2 linked regions of the Saccharomyces cerevisiae S288C genome follow. Changing the gene in region 1 together with any one later gene gives a genetic interaction. Each region holds a gene or a part of one and is shown on either strand. Other genes may lie near its edges.

What was found.
Region 2: of MDV1 (region 1) and ECM19, changing one enhances a phenotype caused by changing the other (phenotypic enhancement), as found in Saccharomyces cerevisiae (one study listed by BioGRID).

The regions. Positions count from the first base shown.
Region 1 is NC_001142.9:202,312-209,295, reverse strand, and holds MDV1 (Mdv1p), read right to left. Parts: upstream 3,992-6,984; coding exon 1,847-3,991; downstream 1-1,846. Other genes in the region: chaperonin-containing T-complex subunit CCT7, read right to left, coding at 1-1,419. UniProt on the Saccharomyces cerevisiae protein: Involved in mitochondrial fission. Has a partially redundant function to CAF4 in acting as an adapter protein, binding to FIS1 on the mitochondrial outer membrane and recruiting the dynamin-like GTPase DNM1 to form mitochondrial fission complexes.
Region 2 is NC_001144.5:901,199-903,904, reverse strand, and holds ECM19 (Ecm19p), read right to left. Parts: upstream 840-2,706; coding exon 501-839; downstream 1-500. Other genes in the region: CCW14 (Ccw14p), read right to left, coding at 1-181; STE23 (metalloendopeptidase), read left to right, coding at 1,245-2,706. UniProt on the Saccharomyces cerevisiae protein: May be involved in cell wall organization and biogenesis.

The sequences.
Region 1 (6,984 bases):
GCTGTGAGCCAATCTTAGTTTGTTTAATATTTCTATAGCATCAAACCCAGCATTTTCACAGAGTTGCCTTGGAATAACTTCTAAAGCCTTAGCGAAGGCATTGATTATCATTTGTTGCTTACCAGCTATGGTTTTTGAATAATCTCTCAAGCATTTTGATACTTCCATTTCTGTAGCACCACCACCAGCAACGATCAGTTTATTTTGTAACGCTCTCTTAACTATCATGATTGCATCGTGCAATGATCTCTCAACCTCGGCAATAACTTGCTCAGCACCTCCTCTTAATAATAATGTACATGTTTTAGCTTGTGGGCAACCTTGGAATAAATTGTAGCGTTCTGACCCGATTTGCATTTCCTCAAACAAAGCACAAGTACCCAAATGCTCTGGTTTTATATCTGAAGTAGTAGATTGTATAGAGCCTCCAACAGCTTGGATGACACGATTCATATCATCTGCGCTCACTCTACCAGCGCAGAAAATATTTCTATCAGCAAAAAATTGAGTAGCCAAATCGCCGATAGGTAACTTTGATAGTACAATATTGGCACCTGTTTCTTCCACTTGTCTTAGCTTTTCAAAGATTAATTGCCACTCCGCATCTACAATAGCTTGGTAATCTTCAACATGTTCTACACGTACTTCAGCATTGTCTTTCTCTGCTTTCAACTCCAGTTCTACATTCAAACTTAAAATTTTAGGATTGTTGAACTTTTTGGGTTGCTGTTCAAATCCAGCATACGAAAATGTCTTCTTAAAGGCGACACCGTTGATGAAAAGAGATTCTTCCATAGCACCACCTGGAATTTTTTTAATACCTATTAATTTGTCATCCAAATCGTTTCTATCAAGGGATAGCACGGCGTCAACACACATTTTAACAAAAAAATCTGCATTATTATGAATCAATTTCGACGACATTGCAGTTCTAGCACAGCGTTCAAGTAATTCTCTGCCACTGCTTTTCTCTGAAGTAATATCCACAGCTAATTCGTTAATCTTCTCCACAGCTAAAGAAACGGCCTTTCTGTAGCCCTTCATAATCAAATGAGATGAAATGCCTTCTTCCAAAAAGGGCTTGGCTTCTTTCATTAACTCACCAGCTAAAATGGTTACACTAGTTGTACCATCACCCACCTCGGCATCCTGAGCTCTAGAAATATCCACTAAAGTTTTGGCAGCAGGATGTACTACATCTAATAATTTTAGGATCGTGGCACCATCGTTAGAAATAGTAGTCTTTTGATTCGATGTCACAATTAAAATATCAGAACCTAAGGGACCTAAAGTTGGTTTCAATGCCTCTTGGACTGCAACACAGGCATTGATATTAGAGATGATTTGACCTTTACCTTGAGATGCGTCTGTTCCCTCTTTTAGAACCACAATTGTAGGTGTTTGGCTTCCAAAGTTCATTTTTCCGAGTTGTATGTCTCGTGATTCAGGTACTACTTAATATTTGCGGCTAATTCTCTGTATTTGAAATCATTTCGACAATTTGGCATCTGCTAACGCTTAATAACAATTATTCATTTTTTTTTTTTTCAATAGCAAGGATGAAAAAGTCGCCACTTAAATATTAATCATTATTCACGAAAGTTTTCTTTTTCCGGGTAAGGATAATGCAGGTATGGTGATTGCTTCCAAGACATCTGTAGTAATATGACAGGGCAACATCTACAGCACCGATTTCGCTGATAAACCATCCAAGGTATTGACGATACTTTATTTACATTCCAGAACGAATATTTATTTATATATATCTGAGCGAGCAGCTATTCACATATGCACTCGATATTTATTTTTCTTCAAATGGGTTGACTTGATTGCAATGCAATGCCTATCATACGGCCCAAATATTTACGTCCCCATTTTCACGACCCTCAACCATGTAATTTTCTTTATACTTAACGGTACTAACGCTAGTCTCGTTACCTTGTTCGACGCAAGACCAGCTTTCATCCTTTTCGCTATCGTATATCTGGACACTTGGTTCGTCTGCGACAACGACTGCAGCGTTCTCTTGGAAGAGATCTAACGAAAGAACTGGCGCACTGTACGCATGAAACTTATTCAACAACCCAGTTCTTAAGTCCCAGATTCTAACTGTTCTGTCGTATGAACCTGTGACCAGGCACGCGGAATCAAATTTTAATGACGTTATGGCATCTGTATGCCCTTTCAAAGTACGAATCACCTTTCCGGATCTTAAATCCCATAGCCTTACAACACCATCTTTTGTACCCGTTGCTAGCGCTGCATCAAAACTTTGTAGTGCACCTATACTAGGCCTCTCATTTCTTTGAGTAAGAAGTGTGCTCTTTGATAAATCGACATTAGTGGATGTTGTTAAGACATTTGCAAAGCTCAGATCAATGGTTTGCAAGCACTTCCCGGAACGTAAGTCCCATTGCCTAATTGTTCTATCCTGTGAACCACTCACCAAGAAACTAGGATCTAATGATAATGCAGTAACCTCATCTGTATGCGCCTCAAATGTATGAACACATGGAGAATCAATATGATTTGTAGGAGAGGTAAGATTTTGCGTTTCCTGGTAAAGTTGTTGAGCTAAATTCAAATTCCATAATTTTAAAGCCGCATCTCTACCACCAGTAACAAGAGTTCCGTAGTCACGATTGATTTGCATACAATTAATTGTAGCAAGATGTCCTGCTAGTTCTCCAATTTTGTTTTGTTTGGATAAATCCCAAATTTTTACCGTGTGATCAAGATATCCGGCTGTACATAAGGTACCAAAGGGCGCATCAAAATCTAGGCAAGTGAGGAAATCATCGTGAGTGGACATTATAGAGCCAATTTTTGTTCCTGGCTCGTAAAGCTGCTGGAATGTTGGGAAGCTTTTTCTGTGTCTTTTTTTGGATTTGCTATAAAAGGCACCTAATCTATTCAATGAGTTATCGTCTCGAAGTTGTTGCCTTCTCCTTGGAGGTAGATTAGAAGCCTCTGATGATATGCTCTCTGTGGTGACACCCTCATTTCTTATAGCATCATTTTTAAGGGCCTTTCGCTCACTCATACCATCATCTTCTGCATTTTCGTCGCTATTAGCTTCGATCACCTCCAATCCGTACTCTTCTAAAAAGTCCAACCTATCATCAATCTGTTTGAGGTTGTCTTCCAATAGTAATTGATTTTGCTCTATGTTCGCAATTTTACCCAACAGTTTCTCTTTCTTTTGTCTCAGATTCTCAACTTCAACTTCAATGTCTCTTATTTCGGATAACGTAGAATTTTTCTGAATATTTAAAAACTCTAAACTATTTACAAGAGTTTGAGAAAAACTTTTTAATGCACTAGGAGAATAAGAGGAGCTTATTTTTTTAGTTTCTACCCCAGGCGGTATGAGAAATGAATCTTGGAAGTTAGGAAGCTCTGTGTGAATTTCATCTCGCTCATTTGTTTTAGACATAACATCTTTCGCACCAACCGTACCGCTTGTACCATTTGTATCATAGTTTAATCTTTCAGTGTTTTCAATGGCAAGCTCCGCTATTGGTAGGTAGCTTTTAAAGCCCTGAAACAGCGATGTTTCTTTTTTGGATGCGTTCTTCCTGAGATTTTCATTTTCGCCTCCTTCGGTTAGAAGCTTGCCATCTGCATCACTTTTGAGACCTTCCTTAGTTGGGATCTCGTTCAACAAATCATCACTTATGTACGTGAGCATTCTGAAGCATGTTTTGTTGTCTGTGAACTTGTTCCTGAATACATCGCCCCTTCTTGTCTTGGAGTAAATATCCTCAAAAGTGTTAGATGCATTTTTTACAAAGCGACCGTGTTCAGTCCTCTTGTAAAAGTATGAAGTTGAGCTCGCATTGTTGACGGTATTTGATAATAAATTCTTATAAGGCCCATTATTGGTCAGTACATCTTGAGTGTTGCTGTTCGATTTTTGGTAGTTTAAAAAAGCGGAAGCCGTTGTGGACAATGTTTTTCCTATATGAGTTATTTGGTCGTTCACTGACATTATTTGTCATTATTTGCTACTAATTGGAGCTCTACGAAGGGTTTATATGGTTGTACTTTCTGTAGAAAGTTAATTTCTTCTCTTGTTTACGCCGTCTTTCCTGAGAAAATCGATGTGAAAGTAGTTCCGCCTGTCAAAGTTGAGCGAATTCCTATCGGACGGAAAAGTCCGATGAGCGACCACATTAAACAGGGATACCAGGTCTGAGGAGGACTGTACAATGTAGGGGGAAAATACTCAAGTATGCACTCACTGTCAACTATTGGTTCCAAGTCGCTGGAAAGAAACTCATAGCTTCAAAATTTAATAAAAGATAATAGGATTACGTAGATGAGCCAAAAAAAATAAAAAAAAGGAAGTTCTGCAGCATGTTCAAGGACGGCTTGGTCGATTGTTTTTCTGTGTCGTAGAAATAGTCTGAATATATATCATCGGTATCTTATACCCTCATTCAAGGTGGAAATTGTACCAGAACAGTCATCAAGGGCCAAAAAAAATCTCCGCGACGGGGAATTGAACCCCGATCTGGCACGCGACAAGCGCCCATTCTGACCATTAAACTATCACGGATTTTTATGTTGTTTTGTGAGCGTGTTTAATGTATCCTTCACTATTTGAAAATATTTTCTCGACCTCAATACCAAATCAAATGACCTTTTACGGTCGTCAAAATGTGTTTCACCCTATAAAGTGAGCTTAAACACTTTAAACATCTCCTCTATCGGTTGTGCTGTACGGAAATAAAGATCAACTTATCAGGATAAATTTTAATAATTAGTATTTAAAACGTGTAATTCGGTTTCTGTATAACGCCAGTCACATTTCTCAAAAGATATATTACTATATGATGTAAACATTAGATTTATTAGAACTGGTAGCAATTAATATTTTAATCAATACTGATGTGAAATCTGAGATATGGGTGGATTTTGAAATAATTGTTGGAATCCTGTTGTTGATAGAGGGTATAATATTAGGTATACAGAATATACTAGAAGTTCTCCTCGAGGATATAGGAATCCTCAAAATGGAATCTATATTTCTACATACTAATATTACGATTATTCCTCATTCCGTTTTATATGTTTCATTATCCTATTACATTATCAATCCTTGCACTTCAGCTTCCTCTAACTTCGATGACAGCTTCTCATAACTTATGTCATCATCTTAACACCGTATATGATAATTGTTGGAATAAAAATCAACTATCATCTACTAACTAGTATTTACGTTACTAGTATATTATCATATACGGTGTTAGAAGATGACGCAAATGATGAGAAATAGTCATCTAAATTAGTGGAAGCTGAAACGCAAGGATTGATAATGTAATAGGATCAATGAATATTAACATATAAAATGATGATAATAATATTTATAGAATTGTGTAGAATTGCAGATTTCCTTTTATGGATTCCTAAATCCTGGAGGAGAACTTCTAGTATATCTACATACCTAATATTATTGCCTTATTAAAAATGGAATCCCAACAATTATCTCAAAATTCACCCAATCTTCAATAATATATTGATATGTTGATAATTAGAGGTTAAAAATTAGTATTAATGAAGAAGTGAGTACTGATCTTCTTATACTAAATAAGAGAGGTATATAAAACACACGCCGATTGGTCATATTAATTATGACCAATATAATAGTGATTCCGGTAGTTACTATACATTGATGTGACGACTCATATTCCTCATATATGTACCTACCATAACATGTTCAACTAATAGGTCTTTAACACAGCTTCAGTATTGTCTGAGCTTCTCGTTTAACATTCCTTCTGCAATAGGCGCAATCACACTTAAACGTATACGAGTTGTACATTAATATACGATGTAAGCATTAGATTGTTACCATAGCAACTCATGTCACTATTAATTACTCTCGTTCCAACATGCTCCCTTAAAGATATATTATTGTACTTCAACAGATATTCATTGTGTGTTTAGAACTTCATTAATTAATTATCAATAGTCTGTTGAGGCCAAAATATCCTGTGATGTTATTTTATTTTTTAATACTTGTATAAATCTTTTAAAATCAGATGCTGATACTGGTTTTGTTAGTAAATCAGCAATATTACCTTTGCCGGTAATTTTTAACAGTTTTATACTCTTCTCTTTAATTTTTTCTTTTATTATTTCAGTTTTTATCCAAGTGAATTTCTCTTTTGGTTGTTGATAGCTGCGATTTAATCCTTGAATGGCTGGCTTTGAGTCAGTGATCATGACAATGTCATTATTGTCTCCTTCTCCTAGCTCCTTTAATGTTACCTTCAACGTTTCTGAGTCTGCATAGCCTTCATAAATGGCATGAAGCTCTGCTTCTGTTGATGATACACATCTGTTTGTGCTCTTGTTAGAATAAACATTAAAAATATTCATACCGTACCATAATATAACTCCAATCCTTGATTGAGCATCATATTCTGATCCAACTGATGCATCAGTTATAGCAATAACCTTTTTGTCTTTATTACAGTCTCGGTCATAGTGTATTCCAATATCTTTATACCGAACCAAGTACTGGATTATTTTGTAAATCATATAAAAGACTCTTTCATGTGGGTAATTTACTAGTCTAGCCACTTTCTTAACAGCAAATTCAATGTCGTATCTGCATTTGTGTCTGACATAGTTTAGTTCACCTAGTAATTGTTGTAGCTTTAGAACACCTTGTCTAAACTCTTCTTCTGACATTTGCAGTACGTCTTTCTTAGGATCTATTTTATAAGTTGACATATGCGGAATTGAACTTTTTCTAATCTTTTTCAATTCCTCGTTGTATTTTTTATCCATTCTATTTATGAATGATTTTAATGTTAAATCGATAGTACCAAGTCTTTTGTTGTATACTAGATCCATTCCTAATATATCTGTATCGAGTACATCGTCTATTAATGTTCCTGTAATTTTCAGTTCAAAATTACTTTTCAATTTGTTTATGAATTCATCCAATCTCTGTTCATTGCTTGCCGCAAT
Region 2 (2,706 bases), on another chromosome or scaffold:
TCTTGACGGCGGAGTTTTCGTGTTCACAGTAACAGGTGACTTGATTCAAAGAGTCACATGTGGAAGAGGATTTGCCGACTTGCGCAACACAGGCCAATAAACAAGCTGGAGGTGTTGCTAAGACTTCCTTCGACAACAATGCCAAAGAAACGACTGAAGATAATAAAGTGGTGGCACGCATGATAATATATAACGAGTGTTGAACGAGTGTAGTAGTGCTGTGAGCTTTGACCCTGTGTGTATTAACAACTGGCGAAATCTATTTATCATCCCTTTGTTTATAAGTTCGAGAGTGTTTATAAACGGTGAAAAATTCGTGAAAAATTAACGGAAAAATTGTAAAAAAGAAATAATGGGTCCTAATGCATGTGGTGCATGGGTCCAATGCTTCTATAAATAGTAATTTTCCGGGTAATAGGTTTTTGTAACGTTATAATGGCTTTACTATTGATGCTATATACAGGAAAAGAAAGTATAGAGGTATTTTCTAGTACGCTTCCTTACTGTTGTGGTGGAGTAGGAGGTGTAGGTGGTGTAGGTGGTGCAGCTGGTGTGGATGATAAAGACGGCGTGACCTTTAACAGATTTCCGTCCTCGTCGTATTCTGGGATGGGAATGTCCGTTCTCAAGTTTCCATCCTTACGCAATCTATCGATAACAATGGGCTCGAAAAATCTCGTGCCCGTGTAGACTCCCACAAGGCATGCGATACCTATAGTGACCATATCTAAAGTGTTCTTTCGCATATTGCACTGGACTTGACGTTTCTTGTGTTTGTTACTTTTGTCAGTTGAATGACTGAATAACACTACAATTGTTGTATTTTTCAGCCAATCCATTTCTTCATCGCGTTTCCCCTAGTTTATGCGGAAAAGATAGAAGAAGCGCACAGGCAAAATATGATGTAATACAATCAATTGTGGCCAAAAATACAAGAGAAGGGGATGACTGTAGCTGTATTGTCTCTATTCTTTTCAAGGGGTTGTTGATGTACCGTTGCTGAAGGGTTCGCTGTACTATTTAACACCCTTTGGGCTTTCTAGCTTATTGTTTAAGCAGCTTTTATTGGTGGCGTACATACTAAATTGTAAAGGCGCGCGCCGGTCTGTTAATGATGTTGAAATTTTCATTTCGAGGACTTCGCCCTTTTCTTCCTGAATGAATCAGAGAAAGTGAAATCAAATAGTAAGTCAGAACCAACCATTCGGAAGACCTCATTCTTGCTCATTTTGATATTGCTCTGTATGGGCGTATCTCTTTTAGCTTCTTCTTCTGCATTTGTAACTAAACCACTCCTCACTCAATTGGTTCACCTCTCACCTATCAGTCTCAATTTCACCGTAAGACGCTTCAAGCCATTCACGTGCTTATCACGCTATTACACAACAAATCCTTATAATATGACATCCAATTTTAAGACATTCAATCTGGACTTTTTAAAGCCGGATTTAGACGAAAGATCGTATCGGTTTATTGAGCTACCTAATAAGCTGAAGGCTCTGTTGATCCAGGACCCAAAAGCAGATAAAGCAGCAGCGTCGCTAGACGTCAATATTGGCGCCTTTGAAGATCCAAAGAACCTACCTGGATTGGCGCATTTCTGCGAGCATCTTTTATTCATGGGCTCTGAGAAATTTCCAGACGAAAACGAATACTCGAGCTATTTAAGCAAGCACGGTGGTTCATCCAATGCCTACACAGCATCGCAAAACACAAATTATTTTTTTGAGGTTAATCACCAACATTTATTTGGTGCGCTAGACAGGTTTTCAGGGTTTTTCTCTTGTCCTCTTTTCAACAAGGACTCTACTGATAAAGAGATCAACGCCGTTAACAGCGAAAACAAAAAGAACTTACAGAATGATATTTGGAGAATTTACCAATTAGACAAGTCTTTGACCAATACAAAACATCCATATCACAAATTTTCTACAGGAAACATCGAAACTTTGGGCACATTGCCAAAGGAAAATGGACTAAATGTTAGAGATGAACTGTTAAAATTCCATAAGAATTTTTACTCCGCTAACCTAATGAAGCTATGTATTCTTGGTAGAGAAGACCTTGATACTCTCTCTGATTGGACTTATGATCTCTTCAAGGATGTAGCCAATAACGGTCGTGAAGTACCCCTTTATGCGGAACCTATTATGCAGCCTGAGCATTTGCAAAAAATAATTCAAGTCCGTCCTGTGAAAGATTTGAAAAAACTAGAAATCTCTTTCACTGTCCCTGATATGGAGGAACATTGGGAGTCCAAGCCACCGAGGATATTAAGTCATTTAATCGGCCATGAAGGGTCCGGTTCATTACTAGCACATTTGAAAAAATTGGGCTGGGCCAATGAGCTATCTGCTGGTGGGCATACTGTGTCCAAAGGAAATGCTTTTTTTGCTGTCGATATAGATTTAACAGACAACGGGTTGACACACTATCGCGATGTTATTGTCTTGATCTTCCAGTATATTGAAATGTTGAAAAACTCACTACCTCAAAAATGGATATTCAATGAACTGCAAGATATCTCTAATGCTACCTTCAAGTTTAAGCAAGCTGGTAGCCCATCTTCCACAGTTTCATCATTGGCAAAATGCTTGGAAAAGGATTACATTCCTGTTAGCAGAATTTTAGCCATGGGTTTGTTAACGAAATATGAACCTGATTTGCTTACCCAATATACGGACGCTCTGGTCCCGGAAAATTCTC